Arabidopsis thaliana: one gene and its partner. The protein of the gene in region 2 interacts with the protein of the main gene of each other region in a pairwise test. Each region holds a gene or a part of one and is shown on either strand. Other genes may lie near its edges.

Region 1 (10,287 bases), on a different chromosome or scaffold from region 2:
TAAGATTCTTATAAGGATCCATAGTTTGACACTTTGAGCTTTACCAGTGTCAGATCTCCAAAGGATTTTGTGGTTCTGTCTTGTGATAATTTAATTTCCTTTATTGTTTACTTGTTGAATGATGGTGCCTTAAAGAACCAGATGGTTCTCTATGTCTCCTTAGGTGAGAGGGAGGACCATTATTTAAATATTAAATAGATACACAGTAGGAGGACCAAATAATGCAGGTTACGGAATTACTCTTTTTTTTTTTTTAAATAAAATTGAAATAGTTATCAGTTTTTTTTTATTTCATTTATGGGATGAGCCTCGGGCTTGATTTGTAACAAACTAGTAGAATACAACTTATAGTCAATATATATACATAACAAAATAAAATCCTCTACAGTTTATTTAATTAAGAGAATTAAAACACATAATTATAAATTTTTGAAATTAATGTCAACTTAATAATTTATACCCTCCAAACAGCTTTTGTCATACCATCATCCAACACAAAATTTCCTTTATGTGAAATACCATTGCGAATCCATCTCTTTCCATGAAATACAGAATTAGTATCTAAAACGCAAACTGTTGGAAAAAAAAAAAAACCATAATGCACATTTTCTCTAAAACAAAATTATATTCTCATACAACTAGGAGGAACTGGAGAATATAACTATTTGACAAATGTCGACGTGAAAGTGCAACCATGTCTTAAGATTCGGATACATGAAAACAAAACCTCAAATCTCAACCGTTGATGATGTTGCGATGGTCGCATGTGGGCTCCGATCCTTTCTTTTTATTTGCACCTGCTCACACTGCAACTAGTCTTTTCACATGTTTATTAAACGTCCATATCCATTGCGTATCAGATATATAATGCTAAAGATATACTGTTCTTAAGAAGATACTATTTCAATATAATATGCTTTGAATATAAAAACCATGACATCCCTCCACAGTTTCCATTATTAAAAAATAATCCTTTTGGTAAAGGTTATCCTTTCAAGGCAAAGCAAATCCTTCTTCTCTGTCACGAATCCCTTGTTTTTTATATATATGTATATACGCATATTAAGAGCCACTATACTATAAAAGATAATCTCGTTGGATGTTTGACCAAAGTCTTTTCTTTAGGGATGTGTGTTGTATGCTGATATGCTCAATATACGCCATAAGCCATATTATGCCTGATATTAGCAACTTTTATAAACCAGATAAATTTGTAAAAAGAGAAAAATTTCATTCACTTATACTATACATTACGTTAAGAAAATGGATAGAGTTTTAAAGTTATAAGAGCTGGTATATAACAGTTTATATACAGTAATATTATTACATGCGTACAACCGCAATAATGTTTGCATATTATAGTCATGATAAAACAAGTTAACTATTTATTATGTAAATTATTTTTAAGACACGTTTCTGCTATAGTTTTATTACATGAGATGCATTTTTCCTATATCCCAAAAAGTACTATCTGATAGTTTTAATCTTATAAAATTAAAATTAGAAGCACGTTGTTATATTTACGTGTATGACCAAATGTCGAATCATGTCAACTCGATGATTGTCGGAAAATATGGATTATGCAAAGTTAAATTATTCCCTATCAGGCGATCGTACACACATGCCTTGTAGGAGTCACGACTAAACTAAAGACATCTCTTTAGACTTGTATATCTGACGGTTGCGAATAGAAGCCGCTATTTCTACAGTAACAACCAATTATTTCTGCAATAAAAAGTTTTAACCAATGATTTTTTTTATTTTTTTTATTTAAGTTCGTTCAAACGAATTAAAATATGTGTTTGGGGCGAAGTATCCTAATGATGTGGTAAATTATACAATTATATATTGCTCTTTTAAATAATTGTATTGTATTTCAATAGTTATTCGTAATAGATCGTTACAACAACATATTTACAATATATCTCCAGCTAAGTTCTCTATATTGACGCTATATTATTTATTAGGGTCATCAAAATTTATGATGAACTTTAGTTCTAAATAGATATGATTTCAAAATTTAAGAAAAGAAAAAAACAAATTGTGAGTTTTAAACAGAATCACCAAATATAAACGACTTTGGCCATGTGTTAAAAGATCACATTTTCTAGACCCTACTTGGCTAATTAATTCCGCCCAAAACCCCAAAGCTGGTCACTGTAGAAAACTAAACCAAAGTTTTCTCACTCTCTCTTTTTTTTTCAACAACCAAGTTTTCTCACTCATTTTAGTTGCTGAAATTGTTTACCAAAATTTAAGTCTAAGAGAAAAGTCAACAGTTCCAGAGTTCAAATATTTAAATCGATCATAGATATGTAGCGGTTTTCAACTAAGCGGCATATAATATACATTCCCTATGTTTTACTTTTTGCATCGACTTTATAGTCATTAGCTAATTTGTGATTACAGATCTGGAGTGCGTATCACACAACCCTAATTAACCATTTTCAAGATTCAAATTTGATAATTTTGTAACAGTGCGTACACAACAAAGTAAGTTTGTAACAGTTCTTTTTGTCAACCAAAAGTACTTTCTAACAGAAACATTACATATTATTTTTAAAAAATATCCGTCGCTGATAAATTCGCAAATTGTTACTTTTAGAAAAACGAATTTCACATGTTTAGATTTCTCTGAAAAATGGTTTTTCCTTTGCCTCATGTTTCTTGTCTTTTGCATATTGCAAATCAATTTCCGACTCAAATTTTCAGTATTATATAATCTCAAAATCTGTTAATCATTTTTTTTTCTTTTTAACCATTTTGTGTATACCCATCAATCGATGAGTTTTTAGAAAGTTAATATTATTTCATTTTTCTTTTCGTGTATTCGTCCGGAAACAATTTTAGTTTGAAGGCTTATACTATCTATCAGAATTTTTGTTCAAAATACTATTCTATCATCTATTTGATGCTACTCACACCAACAATAGTAAATTAATTATACCATTAATTCTATGTGTACGAATTAAATTCCACCATTCTCTTAATTATATCCTAACTCGACAGATTACGTACATCTTCAGATAAGAATGTTATATGACTTATATATAGGAGCAGAGACGTCTAGAAATAAGAAGGCCTCATGCGGTAATCCTCAAAATAATAGTCATTGTCCCTAATGAACAAAAGATAGAGTAAACTAATATATTTTCTTGAAAGATAATTTGTTTTCATAAGATATTTAATCAAATTTTCAAAATGAAGATTTTTTTCTGTGAATAAACAAGATAGTCAAAACATCAATGATAAAGAAAAAGTTTAGATGGACCATAGTTTATATAATATGTAAGAGATGGTTGTGATATTAAAGCTAGCTAGCATTAGTTTCTTACGCACAAATTCTTTAAAGTAGCTAGATAAATACACAGTAAAAGTACTAAGAACCATATATATACATCGTTTTGGTTTGAGAAGTTAAAAGGAATCTACTGAAAAAAAACGTTTGATTATTTGAATTACTTCATCAGGGTAAGTGTATCCTTAAGGTCTGCTAAGTCGATCAAAGCCAGATCGTTGACCTGCAACATAAGGCAAATCAACTTCACATATTAACTCAACATAAGGCAAATCAACTTCACATATTAACTCAAACATATATATTCATTACTCTGATACAATAAGCCATTCCAAAAAGCTATGAAGAAGATGTATGCTATATTCTATATTCCATTCCAAATTAGGACATAAACGCGTTTGTAAGCCGACAAGATCGAAAACATTAACAAAGTTAGAAATATATGTTATGATTAAGTATTTCTCTATATTCTTAGTAAAGTTAGTTAGAAATATATGTTATGATTAAGTATTTCTCTATATTCTTAGTAAAGTTAGTAATGCTTCGATTGCTGTAAAGTTAGTAAGCTCGAGATATTGTACCTCAGCCTGTAGAGTATGAATGAGTCTATCATTTACACTGGAACAGATGTAGCCAAGAACATAGAGACCGTGTTCACGAAGCACTTGCAGAACGCTTGAGAATGGCGTTTGGAGAATGCTCAACACTATCTCTATGCCGACCAAACACGGACGAATCACGACATGATTCGAAATCTCATTCCATTCTTGTTCATTACTACTCCTAAAGCTTCGTCCAGACAATAACACGAGGTCATCTCTCTTGGAATTTATGTCTTTGATATTCCTTTGCAAATAGTCTATGTAATTCACTGCCCCTTTCACCTGATCTGACGTTGAACGTTTTCCCTACAAAACCAAATCAAACGTAATTAAGGTGTAGAGGTCAACTTGAGATATTGTGATGATAGAGTGTTAGAGTTCTAGTGAATCTTTTTAACAAACTAAGCGACAAAGCATACTTGTGGACTTTTTCCTTAACAAAAAAAAAAGAAGAAGAAGAGGAAGAAATTAAAAGCAAGAGTAATTAGGGTTTTGACCTGGATGAACTCTAAAGGGAGAAGAGAGCGGAGAGACGCGTAGAGAGAAGCCATTTCTTGTCTCCTTCGTTTCTCAATTTCTTTATGTACTAACTTCTCCATGTTTTCTTCGTTATTACAAACTCTCGGCGTTTTACTACGCCTTCTTTTCTTCTCCTGAAAATTATTCATCTAGAAGTCGTTATACGTTAATTATTTTGAACAACGATTCTTCTTGTAATTATGATTATAATAATGATGATGATGATGAGACAGAAGGATCTGATCTTGTGCTCTGGGATTTGCTCTAGTCAGGGATTTGTTGTAAAGTTGAATAATATGGGAGTCGGAAAAAAAAAAGATATGGGAGTCGGAAAAAAGATAGTAAAAGGGTTTGGTTATAATATTAAAAACTAAGAGAAAAAAATACTAAGTTATTGGTAGACGTATCGGAAAAAGATGGAGAGAGAGGTTTGTTAGGGTAAGCAATGACGTCTTTCTGCTTCATCATTAATTTCTTCTCTTTTTAATAGGTTCCCTTCAACATTCCATATCTTAATATTTATCATTTTTAAAGTATTCTTTAGAGATCGTACAATTTATATGTTTATTTTCTTATTGTATACACATACTATATGATATATCAATTGTACGACGATCTACTATATATCCTAGATATCTCTGACATAGGTACCATATAATTATTTTTATATATACTATAGACTGCAAGGCCATATGCTGGATCGTATTCCTAAAAATCATTGAATAGCACTTTAAATTATGAGAAAATATGATTTATTTTATGTTATAAAATATATAGGAAATAATGTACTATAGTTTATAAGAATTAGTTACTGCTCTTTTTTTGTCAACTGGTATTGTATTAAGAGACGATTGTTTGATACAACACATACCCACCAAAGAGGTGAAAGAGCCAGACATATGAAAATGAAACAACATCCTCAACCTTTACTCAAGCCATACTACCATCAAAACTCAAATTTAATCAGAACACAAAGCCCTTTCCTCAGCAAATACACCATCGATCGAGCCAAGTAGGATGACTAACCGCCACATACGATTGTAACATGCACTCGTATAAGCAATGATATAAGTCATTGTTTCTAGTCGAAAGCAAATGATTTTTGTTGTTGTTATTATTTAAAATATTGAAAAACACTTAAAATGAAAAACAAACCAACATTCTATAACGCCTTGCATTTATTCATTAAAAACTGTTGCATTTTCAATTTGTTTTCTAAACATTACAACAACTTTTTGAAAAAATGCAGAATACTATGTTTTATGAAATGTTATAAGGGATTTCTTAATCCGAAAATAATTAAGTAGTAGTAAATATTTTAAACTGTTTATGTATGATTTTTTTTTTAATAATTGAGTTTCATCTGAATCTGATACATTTAAAAATAAAAAGCATGCATGTTCCAAATATCTAGTATTTTTAAAAAACTGGGCCAAATTATGGATAGACCATACTCTATATAAGGGCCAAATAATAATAAGAAGAAAAATTCAATAAATCTTGGTGATTTTAAGTAGAAACGAATAAGAAAAATCGAAGATGGCCCATGTCCATATATAAAGAACACAAACTGCTGACTCCTAACGTGACCCAATTTGGTATCTTCATTTCATTTAACTCGATTGGAAGTGGTTTGTTAACTGATTAGGCCCATAGGATTTGTGTGACCTTTAAATGACTTTTGGAGGTGGAAAAAGTTTTAGCCTTTTCTTTCTGCTAATAATCCAATCCCGAGCAACTCCGATTTGAAGAAGTGTTGTATGACATATTGACATCGAAGTATAAACGTGTAAAAAAAAAATCAATGTCAATAATGCGTGTGAAACTATAGAAAGAGAAATTGGAAAGTATAGTGAAATTGAATCAAAGTTCCTAAAACTAGCGGTGTAACACTTGAATAATAATAATCAAAATGATTCCTAAATTAGTCAACGGCGCTGCTTCCTCGTTGTCTTTAATGGTGGCGATGGTGAGAACTCACTAGGCAACTCTGGTAGATTCACTTCTCCTTTAAGCATTCCCAAGACCTCTTTCATTGACGGTCGTGAAATCGGTAATCTTTGCAGACACAACAAAGCCACCTTTATGCACAACACTGCTTGTTCTTGGTCTAAGTTTTGCAACTTTTGATCCACAAGATCAACAAGTTTTCCTCTTCTCGCCAACTTCCTCGCCCAAGACATGAGGTTTGCCCGTTGTATCTCACTCGCGGAGCCCGTCATCTCCAACGGGCGCCTCCCGGAAATCAGAACTAACAACAGAACACCGTAGCTATAGACATCACATTTCTCTGACACGTTGTTGTCCAAGTTACAGTACTCAGGAGCTGCATAGCACACAGTCCCTCTCATGCTCGGCGTGCTACTAATTCCGCAGCTCTTAGCTATCTCACCGCTCACCGAGTCATGGCTATTTCCCCTTGCTCTCAACCATCGTTCACCACTTAACCCATCTAACCACCAATCTATGCTGCTACCACTACCACTACCACGCCGCCATTGACTCACACTACTACTCCCATCATCACTACAAAACTCGGCTTCTAAAGTCATCTTCTTCTTCTTCTTCCTTTTCTTAGCGAGTTCTCTACGATACTCATCTTTCCACCACTCTCTAACCATCCTCCGCTTCTTCTTCTTCTTATTCTCATCCTCTTCCTCCAATGACAACCACCAATCTAGTCTCTTGCTAGTCTTCTTCTCAAGTTTCTTACTTGACGAAGAAGACAAAGCTGCCGCCTCAATCCAATCACTTCTGCTTGGTCTCTCCTTCTTTACCTCTGAACCAATCCATTGCATTACATACTCTTTCACTCTCCCTCTTTCAACATTGCTCTCCTGCTTCCACCACCAATCTTTGCTCTCACTCTCTTTCCCCTTCTTCATCACCACAACACTACCACCATCCTCATCCGTTTTCTCTCCCATTTCCGGAGAAACAGAGACAACCGTCGTCGCCTCAGGAGAAGCACTCACAGACCCAGGAACCTTAGCAACACTCTCCGGAGACTGATCAACCAACCCAAAGTTAAAATCTTCATAACCAGTCACAGTAGTTACCACACTCTCTACTTCTTCAACCATAGATCCATCACCATCACGCTCCGGAGCTACACTAATCTCCACTTGCTCTGCTTTCAACCTAGCCAAACCAAAATCAGCGATTTTGGCAGAGAAGAGACTATCTAATAGAACATTGCTAGGCTTAATATCACCATGAATCACAGGTGGTTCAAGACTATGAAGATGCTTAATCCCATCGGCAATGTTAACGGCAACCAAAAACCTCCGATTCCAATCCATAAGCTCAGGGCATCTCCGGTGAAGCAAGGCGTCTTGGAGATTACCATTGTCCATAAGCTTGTAAACAAGAAGCAAACGTCGTCGTTTTCGATCATGAGAGAAACCAATAACAGGGACAACGTGAGGCGAGTCAAGCTTGGCGGCGAAGAACAACTCGTTCTGAAACTCACCTTCTCCTTGAAGAGATCCTGAATCCATTACTTTAACAGCTACATTCTCGCCGCCGGAGATAGTTCCACGAAACACGACGCCAAATCCGCCCTGACCTAGTCTATTCGCCTGCGAGAAAGAACCGGTGGCGCGACGGAGAGACGAATATGAAAACTCACGTGGCGACGGTCTCCGAGGCGAAGAGGAAGCGTTTTCCGCCGGAGGTGATGAACGTTTCCGGCTGAATTTACAGAAACAGACGGAGAGAGTGATGAAAAGAGAGAAACCGGCGCCGGCTCCAGCCACCACGAACGGTGGAAAGATTCGCGTTGTCTTATTCTGATGTCCTGACGGCGCTGCTGGGACTAAAGAGGAAACGATCGGAGCCGGAGCAAGAACCGGAACCGGTGCCGAGATTGATCGTGACGGCATAGAGATTTAGTAAACCGAAGCTGAACCATACACAGAGGAGATTTTCAAAGACAAATTGTTGCTTTTTGTGTTTGTTTCAGTTTTTAGACTAAAATCGGAAAAGAGAGAAAACGTTTTGAGCTGTTGCGGAAATGGAAAATAAATTTCTATACATTTAATTGATCATTGATTAAATCATTACATCATGGTTTATAACGTGTTAAGGTTGCGAATTTTGATTGGTTAAACCGAATGAATACTAATCCAAAGTCCAAACACACAGACAAATCCAAAACCTGTTATTCTTTCTATATCAAACAAGAACCATAGAAAGAATAACTGACCAATATTTTATTTATTTATCGTTTTTTGAATGAGAAAACTCAAATTCAAATTCAGACGAAGCCAAAACATATACCCGGATAATGAAACCGGAACCGGGTTAGACCCACGTGAAGATTTAAATGCTAGACTGTTGTTGCGTGGCTTTTTGATAGACAATAAATAATTTAATTAGTAACGCGTTTAGGTGTAATTTGATAATGAAACTAAACAAGGTATTCCAAATTCACGTGCGGTGGTGGGGAGGCCATCAAAGATCACCATGTGGAATTGTCTAATTTGGTATTTTACTTGAAACTAATTAATTACTCCTTAAGATAGTGAAAACGGCACGCAACTCTTTTCTGTATTTAGAAAACGAACCGACGTTTTAGAAACTACCAGGAAGCTGCTGTTGTCTAAATTATCATCAAGTTGGATTAGTTATTTATTTGGTTTGTCTTTTTTTTCTTACATTAGTCAACGTTTTTCTTTATTGGATTTATGACTGTTCGAAGAGGATTAAACACGTCTTCTCAGTTTCCTTATTATGAAATATCTCTCAGCGTTTCTATTGTAACTTTTCCTTTCTTAGTTATATGAGGAAAGGAAAATCAATAACTTGCAATAAGAATCGTTAGCAAACACTTATCGAACGTAGATGACTATTACAAAAGAGGAAACACTTACCGAATTGTATTAAAAAAGGGAAACTTAATTGCACTACACAATTCCAGAAGAACTAAGAACAATAGACATCCTCTATATATTTAGATTTTAGAGTCATTGATAGAGCTCACACAAAATATTGAATTATATTGACTCTCATATAACAACTATCGCAAGAAGTAGAAGAAAGAAGATGGTGAACGAAACAGAAGCATTACCATGCGAGGGAGGCTGTGGACTCTACGGCACCCGAGTGAACAACAATCTATGCTCTCTCTGCTACAAAAAGAGTGTTCTTCAACACTCGCCCGCTTTAAGATTCGAACCCGAGACCGAGCAATCACAGTGTTGCCCTCCTACGAATAGTCCCGCCGTTGAAGAAGAACCGGTCAAAAAAAGGAGATGTGGGATATGTAAGAGGAAGGTAGGAATGTTGGGATTCAAGTGTAGATGTGGACACATGTTTTGCGGGTCACATCGTTATCCGGAGGAGCATTCTTGTCCCTTTGATTACAAACAATCTGGACGGCTCGCCTTGGCCACACAGTTGCCTTTGATCAGAGCTGACAAGTTGCAGAGGTTTTAGTGATATGTGTCGTAGATGTTTAGATTCCTTGGCTAAGATTTTGATGTTGTTAAATTCTTTGTACCAGTAATAATATAAGTTCTTTTAGCTAAACAAAACACCCTGAACTGAAGAGAGATTCAAAACAAGCAAGCCATCTTTCCATTTCAATGGTCAATTAAATTAACCAAAAATTCACAAGCTAGAAACAAAACTGAACTTTGTCAAAACTTTATTGTCACGACTCACTGATCAAACCCTAAACAAAACGTATCGGCTCTGTATCACACTGCAAAAACTTGTGAACATGAAATCCATAATATCACAACAAATCATTAAAACGCTTGTTTATACATATGCTTGGATTAACTACAAATTGGATTCGTGATTTCAAATGCGTTTTATGTATATTATAATCTTATGAGCTTAGACGAATAAGGTCATCGGTTT
Region 2 (11,026 bases):
AAAATAGCAAGCCAATTGGTTTAAAATAAATTTATTTGACTTCATAAATGTTGGGTTGTGCGTATACCGTGTCGGCAGAAGGCAGCGCATTAATCCCACAAAATATATTTAGTTCAAACCTATAACGGCGGATATTATATACTTATGTATAGATTAATATGAAGTAATATCATACAAGTGGAAACATATAAATATATAACAAAAAGAACAGGGCAACTATCGATGAATTTGCTAAATGATCCTAAGTACTTTACAAAACAAAATTGATCTTAAGCAAACAGACCTCTTATTTTTGCATGGTTTGACCAAAATGATTTTTTCATTTAAACATAATTGTTGTTATTTTACTAATTAGTAACGTGCAAATTTACATTTGACCGTGTAAACAGTATCATCAAATAAATAAGAATATACAAATTTTATATTATTGTTGAATAAAATAGTGTGGTTTCAGGTAAATAACGTTTTATCGAGATAAAAAACATGTTATTTACTTCAAAATTATTTGAATAATTGTTATTGTAAAGAAATAGATGTCCAAATCCAATATCACTCTCACCGCCCTAGTTAAGGGTGTTTTCCCTACTAATAGATATTCATAGTTATTTGGTTATTTGAGATTTCAGTAGATATAAGTCAGAAGCTGGCAATTTCTTATGAGATATTCTATTATTTAAGCATGACATGATGATGTGAATAAAGAAAATATATGCTACGTTGTTCTTTCAATTTATTATTTCAACTAAATTATGTTTTCATGGTATGCAGTTATACTCTATGTTTCAGTTTGACATATGATATTTATCTGAGCTACTAATAACATTTCCTGCACTTTTTAATCTGTATTTGCAAAATGGTTTCAACACGATTTCACTCAAAACAAAAACAAGTGTCACTAAAAGTCTTAACCAATGGCGAGTTGGCATAAACATCCAAAGCCATTCAGGTCGGATCAGGAGCCGTCGTGGATCGCACCAATGGTTACGATTCTCTGGATAGTGTTGTTCCTTTACTGGTCAACAAAAGCAGTCTCCTTTTTTTATTTTCACATGTGTTTTTTTTAATAATATTTTTAAATTTTAATTGCTCACCAGTCACCACTATTCTATAAATATCAATATTAGTAGTAGTTTAATACCTACTATTTTATTTCAGGACAGCCTAAAATAGTTAAAATTAAAGTTCTACGTATTGTCTTCCTCATTTTAAAGGGTCATCTTGTCCTATCTGGCTTTTTATATATATAATTCTTCTTAATACTTACTCTAACAAAAAATATAAAAATAGCTAAACCTTAGTCTATAAATTTAATTATCATATGGTAAAATTTTCTCATCAATCTGACGTTGTTTACACCTTTATGAGGCGTCTATGCAAATGGTTAATTTAGTTCGATAATATATTTTTTCATTATAATGCAATATCAGATACTCAAATTTAATTACGTGATTTTGGTCGTGCTATATATATTTACCAGTGAAAATCAAAATTTCATTACTCAAACTTATTAAGATCTAGAGGGGTTGGAAGTCAGAAAAGCAGATATTATAACATTTAATAACACATTTTCATTCAAGTAAAAAAAAAATTAGTAACAAACCATGGAACCCTAAATGTGGAAATTATTGAAAATTAGTTTTGGTTTTGTTTAGTTAGTGGAAACTGGAGATTGATTAATATAATGGGGTTGTTTACTCATGATTTACTTTGCACAAACGAAAATTTTCGTTCCCCTTAGTCCTTACCTACTGTCTGTTTTGAAATTTCCGCATTTGACAAAAGTTATATGTGATTGAGTTTCATTAGAATAACTCAATAGATACTTTTATATATGAAAATATACTTTTATACTTAATTATGTTAATAATGACTATCTCTCTAACTGGAAAATGGAAACTATACAGGATTAATATGTTAGCAAGAGGAACATACATTCATTATATTAAGCATGATACTTTATGAACAACTAACTTTTTTTTGTTGATCACATGGAACAACTAACTTTATCTAAACAATATTATACAATATTATATATATATAGGTCAATTATATCATAAAAGTTGGCCAAAAGATGGCTTTAGTATGCGCCTAAACCCATCATACTGTATTATGAAAAAACTGTTCCGGCAACTAGTATTTTTTTTGTTGCAAAAGACATTTCGCCAACAGTTCGTCATTTTAATTGATATAAATGGTTGAAATTTGTTCAAGAGGAGAAAAAAAAAGGAGGTCAATTGACTTAATTAGTACCATAAAAATCTGCAAAAATGATCAATTAATTGCAAATAAAATTGCAATTGATTTTTTTTGTAAAACTTCCCCATAATTAATTAATCCGTCAAAACACATCACAACATCACAGTTAGAATTATAAAATGGCATAGTATAAGGAGCTGATTTGATCGGGAATTAAAACTATAAATACATCAATTAGGTCTGCAATAATGATTTTTAAAAATTAGGTTTCCAGTGAGTTGGTTATATACTTATATAAATAGCATGCTTAATATCACGTTTTTTATTTATAATTAAGAAAATGTGGGGAGCCACACACTAAATGATTTAATACAACTTAATTAGTTTTGGTAAGGTGGCCTAAGTTAGGCCATGTTATTAAATTACTACTCCACTGGATTTGAGTTGATTTGTTTGGCCAACCTGATTATCCCCAATACAAAAATACTCTCATGTTATTATAGACTGATATATCTGTGAGTAATGTATATATTATTCTCTTGATTATACCAAAATGGAAGATAAGAATCTAAAATGAACGACTGAGATGGAACTGTAATATTACTAAAAATAGGATGAAGTTTGGGTCCAGATAGAAGAAATTATGAGGAGGATGGTGCTGAGTGCTGACCTTTTCGTCCTTGGAAACATATCTCACTCGTTGTCTTCCCACTTGCAATATTGCATGGCCCAATTCTTCAATGAAACGACACCGTTTCCAGTTACACCAAACCCTTCTCAACTAATTTATGTTATGTGGCAATCTTGCATGTTAATTACATGTATTCAACACATGAGTCTATCTATCTTCCGATTAATTTTCCACCAAAAGTGATATAACTTTTGATAATAATTGAGACGGACCAACATTGTATTTTTAGGCAAACGCAAATTACTGTTTAATCGAAATTTTAGATAAAGTAAGGTAAGATCAGACCAAAAAAACAAAGAGCCTACTATTATAAAGTTTCGACATAAGAAGGTCAATGATGTGGATGATATAACCAATTGCAAGTTAATGAGACGTGATACATAAATTTCCTTAAATCTAAACTTGTATCCGGTGGTACTAGATTTAAAATATCCTTATAAAGTTCGTTGATATATACATACACACCAAACTCATTTTAGCTTGTTGTTGTTTGATAAAGATCCAAGATAATATGAAATCACTTTTTAAAAATTAATCTATTTAATGTCACACATCAACTATTTTATCTTTCCATTTCAGAATTTTGATTTTTTTCGGTAGAATATAATGGAGCTCTGATGAGTATGTGACCCACTAATCAAATGGTTCATTGACTAGCTCGGTTTTAAGCTTTAAGTCCTTGAGATCATTATCTTCAACAGAAGACTTATAAATACTATTTTATTTGAGGAAATGATAGGGTTATTCAACAAGTATATATATGCTCATCTTTTAAAAAGGGGATAAGTATTACTTTTGTTTCAAACAAAATGGATAAACATCTGAGGGAAGAAGGTAGGACCAATATAAAAGTGGAAAAATTAGGTACTCTGCTCCGTACAAGAATATGGCTCATGGGCAAAATACATTGGGTTTATGATTCATCTCCCCCCTTCACATATGTACAATGTATTATATCATGTTGTTCTTCTTGTCCCCATTCTTGATATCTTAAATATTTAAGTCCAATTCATATAATTGAGCAATAATTATGTTTGAACTCATTAGTTATTGCTTATGAAAACTGATCAAAACAACAAAAAGTTGACGTTTTAAGTTTTGCATTCAAACTAGGGCAACTGTGTTAGTTTTATCTTCGACGACGTGGATATAAGTTTTTTAAAATTATGTAGGTATAATAAATTAAATAGAAAGAAAAAAACTATATAATGAAACAAAAGAGAAACAGAGGAGAGTTTGATGGTTTAGGACGAATCTGGTTTATTTAGTTCAGCCAATAAAAGCATAGTTCCAATGCAAGTGGGAACATCAACTAAGTCTCACTACTTTTTAAAATAGTCGAATAAATCTGCATGCAGTACTTTGTTATGCGTATATAATATCAAATAGTAGTACAATTTGATAAAAATGTTATATGTTTAATTTGGTGGATCATAGAAGGATTAATTTTTATGATCAAATAACGAAGCCACGAAGAACTAAATCTGACCGTTTGATGCTTATTCGAGAACTATAACAATATTAGGACGTCATTCATGTATCTTTATTAAAAATATGTGATCTTAAACAAAGCTTCGTGCATAGATAAGAAGGGACTAGTCACTCTAATAAGATCAATAAGATATGTTGTTTCTCTTTGTAAACCGAAAATAGTGGGCAATTAGATCACGAGTCTTGGCTTTGCTGGCGTATTCCAACGTTGTCTTATCATTATCTCAAAATATTATTATAGGTCGTCTCATTTCATACCCGTCAAAATAATAGTTGTTCTTATATGTTTCGAACAAGTCACTTTAGGAATTAGGATGGAAAACATATCCTATTTGAGTGGTATTGGTTAATTTGAGAAATTGAGCGTAAAGGAAGACAATGCGTAAGAAAGGCAACAATACGTACTATGATTCTACGTACAAAGAAAGTGCTTAGGGGATAAAAACCAAACTAGGTAAGGACTTGTAGGAAACATAAGAGAACCTAATGATCAAGACCTCCCCAACTAAAGCAAAATATGTAAAGAGACACGTCATGTTCCAAATATGGAAGGACGAATATAGTTTCAAGAAAAGCCTCATGATCAAAGGGGGGATGCACTATTTAATTAGAGAATCACAACAAAACAAAACAAAAGGTCCAAATCTCATGTGAACCCCCTTCCCACTTGGCCCTCTATTCTATCCCCATTTGTGCTATTACACATCGCCCATTACTCATTTTTCTATCTCTCAACGAGTCAACTCTATTCAATAATTTTACATATCTTTCTACTACTATTCTTGTATGGACCATTCGATTTTTGGAAACTTCTTTTCTCTTAAAAAAACATCAATAATATCGGGCGAAATGTCAAATGTGGTTTTTCTTAGCCCTATTTACCATTCTTAACCACATCAAGAATCTCATTGCTAGTGTTGTAATTATTCTTTGTCCTTTAGTGAAAACATTAAGAAAAATTCATCTATTGATGTTCACGTTCTCTGTAAATTTTTTATAGACGCATGTTACACGTAATATATTATTAGTTTATTACCATATGAAGGGACTAATTATGGCAACAACAAGATTATAAAAAAAGGACTAATCAAAAGGTACCAAAATTAGTACGAATGTAATAAATAAAATAAAACTTTATGACACTAGCACACATATTTTTGGACTCTTCCCACGAAACTTCCTCTACAAAACACATTTTGCCATTTGTTGCAAGACTTGACCCTACTCCTCTGCACCTCTTCTCCTTTCTCTTTTATTTTATTTTCACCTTTCTTTCATAAATACACATACATTACCCACATTTTACATTTATCTCTTATTATCCTATTCAATTTTGACAAAACAAAACAAATAATATCAACAACGTACATGCACTTCCTTGTGTATATATATAAACTCCAAACCCCATCTCTTCATAAAGCAACAAAAACTTAACCCATTTCTTCTTCTTTTTTTGTTTCTCTCTCACAAACACAACAAATATGGAATACAGCTGTGTAGACGACAGTAGTACAACGTCAGAATCTCTCTCCATCTCTACTACTCCAAAGCCGACAACGACGACGGAGAAGAAACTCTCTTCTCCGCCGGCGACGTCGATGCGTCTCTACAGAATGGGAAGCGGCGGAAGCAGCGTCGTTTTGGATTCAGAGAACGGCGTCGAGACCGAGTCACGTAAGCTTCCTTCGTCGAAATATAAAGGCGTTGTGCCTCAGCCTAACGGAAGATGGGGAGCTCAGATTTACGAGAAGCATCAGCGAGTTTGGCTCGGTACTTTCAACGAGGAAGAAGAAGCTGCGTCTTCTTACGACATCGCCGTGAGGAGATTCCGCGGCCGCGACGCCGTCACTAACTTCAAATCTCAAGTTGATGGAAACGACGCCGAATCGGCTTTTCTTGACGCTCATTCTAAAGCTGAGATCGTGGATATGTTGAGGAAACACACTTACGCCGATGAGTTTGAGCAGAGTAGACGGAAGTTTGTTAACGGCGACGGAAAACGCTCTGGGTTGGAGACGGCGACGTACGGAAACGACGCTGTTTTGAGAGCGCGTGAGGTTTTGTTCGAGAAGACTGTTACGCCGAGCGACGTCGGGAAGCTGAACCGTTTAGTGATACCGAAACAACACGCGGAGAAGCATTTTCCGTTACCGGCGATGACGACGGCGATGGGGATGAATCCGTCTCCGACGAAAGGCGTTTTGATTAACTTGGAAGATAGAACAGGGAAAGTGTGGCGGTTCCGTTACAGTTACTGGAACAGCAGTCAAAGTTACGTGTTGACCAAGGGCTGGAGCCGGTTCGTTAAAGAGAAGAATCTTCGAGCCGGTGATGTGGTTTGTTTCGAGAGATCAACCGGACCAGACCGGCAATTGTATATCCACTGGAAAGTCCGGTCTAGTCCGGTTCAGACTGTGGTTAGGCTATTCGGAGTCAACATTTTCAATGTGAGTAACGAGAAACCAAACGACGTCGCAGTAGAGTGTGTTGGCAAGAAGAGATCTCGGGAAGATGATTTGTTTTCGTTAGGGTGTTCCAAGAAGCAGGCGATTATCAACATCTTGTGACAAATTCTTTTTTTTTGGTTTTTTTTCTTCAATTTGTTTCTCCTTTTTCAATATTTTGTATTGAAATGACAAGTTGTAAATTAGGACAAGACAAGAAAAAATGACAACTAGACAAAATAGTTTTTGTTTACATCTAATTTAGGATCTGTTTTTTCACCCTTTCCTGAAATATGATATGTGTTCTCCTCCTTAATCTAATAATCTTGTTTAATCTTTGGTTTATAGCCAACTTTATAGCATATTTTTCCAATTGAAATAGAGTTGTTATGAGTATATAATCCCACACTAATATTTATGCATTTACTTTCATATATACATAATATACATTATTGGAGAAAAATATCTTATACGATCTATAAGAATAGTATAATTAAATGTCAACATGTCCAATTAAAACATGGGTGCGATTCGAAAATCTATTTATGTGGTTGAGATGCTTAAGCGGAGAACAACGTCGATCGTTCAAAGATTTTGTACGTTTCTTAAACTAAGTTTAAAAACTGTTTTTTCGTGTACGATTTTGGGGAAAAACACTGACCAAAATAATTAAGAACATGCACGGAATCTAGATTACGATTTTAGAACCATTGTTATGTTTAATAGAAATACATCTCGAAGTTGATAATTATTTTTCTTATGCCTTAAGATTCATGCATCTTATTTATTTCACGAAGTATAGTTGTGTTTAAAAAGAATCAATTAGATCTTAAAGGCTACACATGATGTATGTGGACACTCGCATATAAGTTCATATATTGTTTTTATCATGACAATAACCACAACTTTTTGTTTCTCAATCATTTAATTACTTACGAGACATGCATTGGCAAGATATTTATATTCACTGGAGTAATGTTGAAATTTAGTAAATAAAATGTACATAAATGTATTTTCAGAATAACAAAAAGAAAACAAAATCAAAAGATCATTTGTTTATGAATTTATTATCGTCAACATATATTTAGTACTAGTTACTAAAACTAAACATAATTTTGATAAAAATTAATCCTTATAACAAAAAACGTAAATAGCTAATGATTTTTCTGATTAAACATGAAAACATGGTTAAATGTTCTAAAACTAGTGTAATCCCTTACATTTAGTTGTTGAATATTGCTCTCAATTCTCATGACTTGGAGCCCATGATGTACAAAAAGCCCATGCTCATTTAAAAGCCGAACGTTTGTTGATTTTCTAATGTTAGCGAACTTGAAACCTAAAACTTGTGGGTTATGGTACCACTTGAGATGACACATATAATATAAGCCCAACTCATGTTAGTTAAATTGTGACTCATTTAGACGTCTTTTCTTGGGCCAAATTTTACAATAAACATCAAAATAAGATTTGTAGAAACATTCTGAATTTCTGAGAGTGACAAAATAAAAAAAAAATACTTGGCCTTATGGAATCTGAAAGAAGCAAAAGCCTTCAAATATTTCGAGATATGTGTTCATCGCTCGAACAGTACAAGTATTTTATTTTCTTGTATACTTTTGATTGAACCATTAGGCAGTAGATGTGCATTAAATTTTCAACGTAATTTTGACTATAAATGTACGCAGTAGCTCCACTTCAACAGAAACTAAGTAAGACGTACATGTTTGTCCGTCATGCATATAACTAGTTCTCGTTAGTATTTACATTAGCTTTTGTATTAGCAAACTTTGCATGATGAGATATTGTAATTTAGGTGGTTGATGGCGTTGGAATGATTTCTCATTGGAACGTTTTTCAACTTTCTTCACTTGACATTTATTTTCTACTATATATATATATATAACTTTTTTTTGAGTTCGCAACATCTCAAAATTAATTTGCTTTTAATAAGAGAAATATAAACTGGTATAAAGAACGATGTAACAAATGAAATGAGTATTAAAAATTTCTTCTTTTTACAAGAATCAATTTTTATGTTTTAGTTTCTCAATATATAGTCCATATTTTTGGTCACACTAACATGAATTTTTTCAATTAATAAATTAGAGTGTCAAAAAACTTCACCGAATTCTTACACAATTTGTTTTTTTAGCAAAATGCATGCTATCGGTAAAAAAAATCGGTGAAGTTTTTTTTTGCTATTTTTGCCATTTTTCAATAGTAACTTTTCCATTTGACGTTAACCTGACTAAATAATTTTAGATAAGTTAATTCTAAATCAAAGGAACCGAATCCATCATAATTGACCTAGACTATGACAGACATCGTATAACTAATTAAATAGACTAGAATCCCAAGCTAATGAATAATGATATGCCACATCTCAGCAAAGTCTAAGAGCAAAAGATGAATGCATTAACGTAATTTAGAATCCATTGACTCGCCCTAGTGACTAGTATTTTTATTTTATTTTATTTTGGGACAAAATCCCTAGTGACTAGTATAAGATACGAATACACACCAAAAAAAAGTATAAGATACGAATAAACAAAGTTTATGCTATTATTTTTGTCGCAATTTGCTTGGTTTACTAAGGGAAAGGCTGACAATCTTGTCTACATTTTGGAAGAAAAGATTCAAATTTAAACCAAAAAATATCTAATATCAAAACATATCTTCTTCATAAATAAATAGGTGATGGTTAGCTGTATTTGAGGTAAAGGGAGGGCCACTTGGCCTTTAGGAGAAGGTAAGGGTCAGCAGCTTTGTTAATCCAACCTCTTTTTAGAGAGGTGTTTAACGCAATTTCAAGATATTTGAATCCGATGATATTTATCTCCTGATTACATGGATCACTGTCTTTGTATTTCAAGATATCCGTTTGAAAATAGTAGGCGTTACATGTATTCGTTTATAAAAAGTAAGAAGTATTTTCTGAAATTGTAATTTATTGAAAAAATCACAGTACGTTACTACGTTTCATAGAATACCCATGAACATTTTTGATATAGTAATGTAGTATATGTTCAACAAGTCATTAACATTGGTGATGACTTGTATTATTGATATATATGGTGGGGTAATGAATAATATAATGAAATAATGGTGAGCTGAACAAAAATATTGTGAAATTATCATGAAAATGAAAAACGTTCGATTCGTTTACAAGAATGATACCAAAATGAAAAACGTTCGATTCGTTTTACAAGAATGATACCAATAACTTTTTTTGTCACAAGAAGATATTAAGATAACTTCAAAGAGCAGAGAATATCGAAACTTTTTTTAAAAAGGCAGAGAATATACTTTGGACAGCACTGATATCATTTTTTTCAAAAGAAAATGTATTTGGTAAGGAATCATTTTTCTTGTGATTCTTTAATCAGTTGCATGAAAAATGCCAAAACAAATATATGCTTCTTCTTTTTTGAAATTCAGAATATTCGGCCACGGGGACCACACACCTCAAAACGAAAACAAACGAGAAATGGAATTTTAGACAAATTCTAGTACACGATACGACCCATATTATTTGTATACTATTCATTGATTGATTAATTTGAGCATTAAGAATCTGGGTTGGTCGTTATTAATTGTTTAATTAATCACCGGCTTGGAAAAAATGATTATCCTTTCTCTCTCAAATGGGTCGTTGGTCCTCCATTCCTTCATGAACACGTTGCCACATGGAAACGTTATGAAAGCGCGTTACTACTTACCACAATGGACCAGAAAATTCTTAAAGTTACGTCTTTGTATTAAATTGCACAATTCCATTTATATAATTCACCAAATCAGATGTTGAATTTTCTTTCCCACATATGAAGATCATTTTCTGATATGTAGCCATATCAAGACGGAATCACTCACCCAAAAAGGCAAAAGCCAATAGTATTATCATAAAACTCGAAAGAAATATCAAAACTTTTTCTTTTATTCAATTGTGTGCAATGTATATCTATTGTTACAATTTATTCAAAACTCTTAAACCTAGAACGAACATTCTTGGTTACAAAACAAATATATAAAGAAGAAAACAAATTTTCATACAAATCGGTAACTATATATTTATGAAAGAGGAAGAAGGTGTGGTGTGTGTGTAGTAGTAGAAGATGTTGCGGGAGATTTGCAACCCCGATTGCTTCTCTCTCCCGACGTTGAAGATTGCGGCGGTTGTGTCGCCACAGGAGCGTAAACTCTA

The links.
Region 1: the proteins of TEM1 (region 2) and AT4G25400 interact in a two-hybrid assay, tested with the Arabidopsis thaliana proteins (one large-scale study listed by BioGRID).

Annotation. Positions count from the first base shown.
Region 1 is NC_003075.7:12,975,507-12,985,793, reverse strand, and holds AT4G25400 (basic helix-loop-helix (bHLH) DNA-binding superfamily protein), read right to left. Parts: upstream 4,758-10,287; 5' UTR 4,569-4,757; coding exon 4,398-4,568; intron 4,207-4,397; coding exon 3,814-4,206; 3' UTR 3,558-3,813; downstream 1-3,557. Other genes in the region: AT4G25410 (basic helix-loop-helix (bHLH) DNA-binding superfamily protein), read right to left, coding at 1-22; AT4G25390 (Protein kinase superfamily protein), read right to left, coding at 6,348-8,303; SAP10 (stress-associated protein 10), read left to right, coding at 9,466-9,858.
Region 2 is NC_003070.9:8,977,810-8,988,835, reverse strand, and holds TEM1 (AP2/B3 transcription factor family protein), read left to right. Parts: upstream 1-5,521; 5' UTR 5,522-5,859; coding exon 5,860-6,945; 3' UTR 6,946-7,280; downstream 7,281-11,026. Other genes in the region: AT1G25550 (myb-like transcription factor family protein), read right to left, coding at 10,894-11,026. UniProt on the Arabidopsis thaliana protein: Transcriptional repressor of flowering time on long day plants. Acts directly on FT expression by binding 5'-CAACA-3' and 5'-CACCTG-3 sequences. Functionally redundant with TEM2.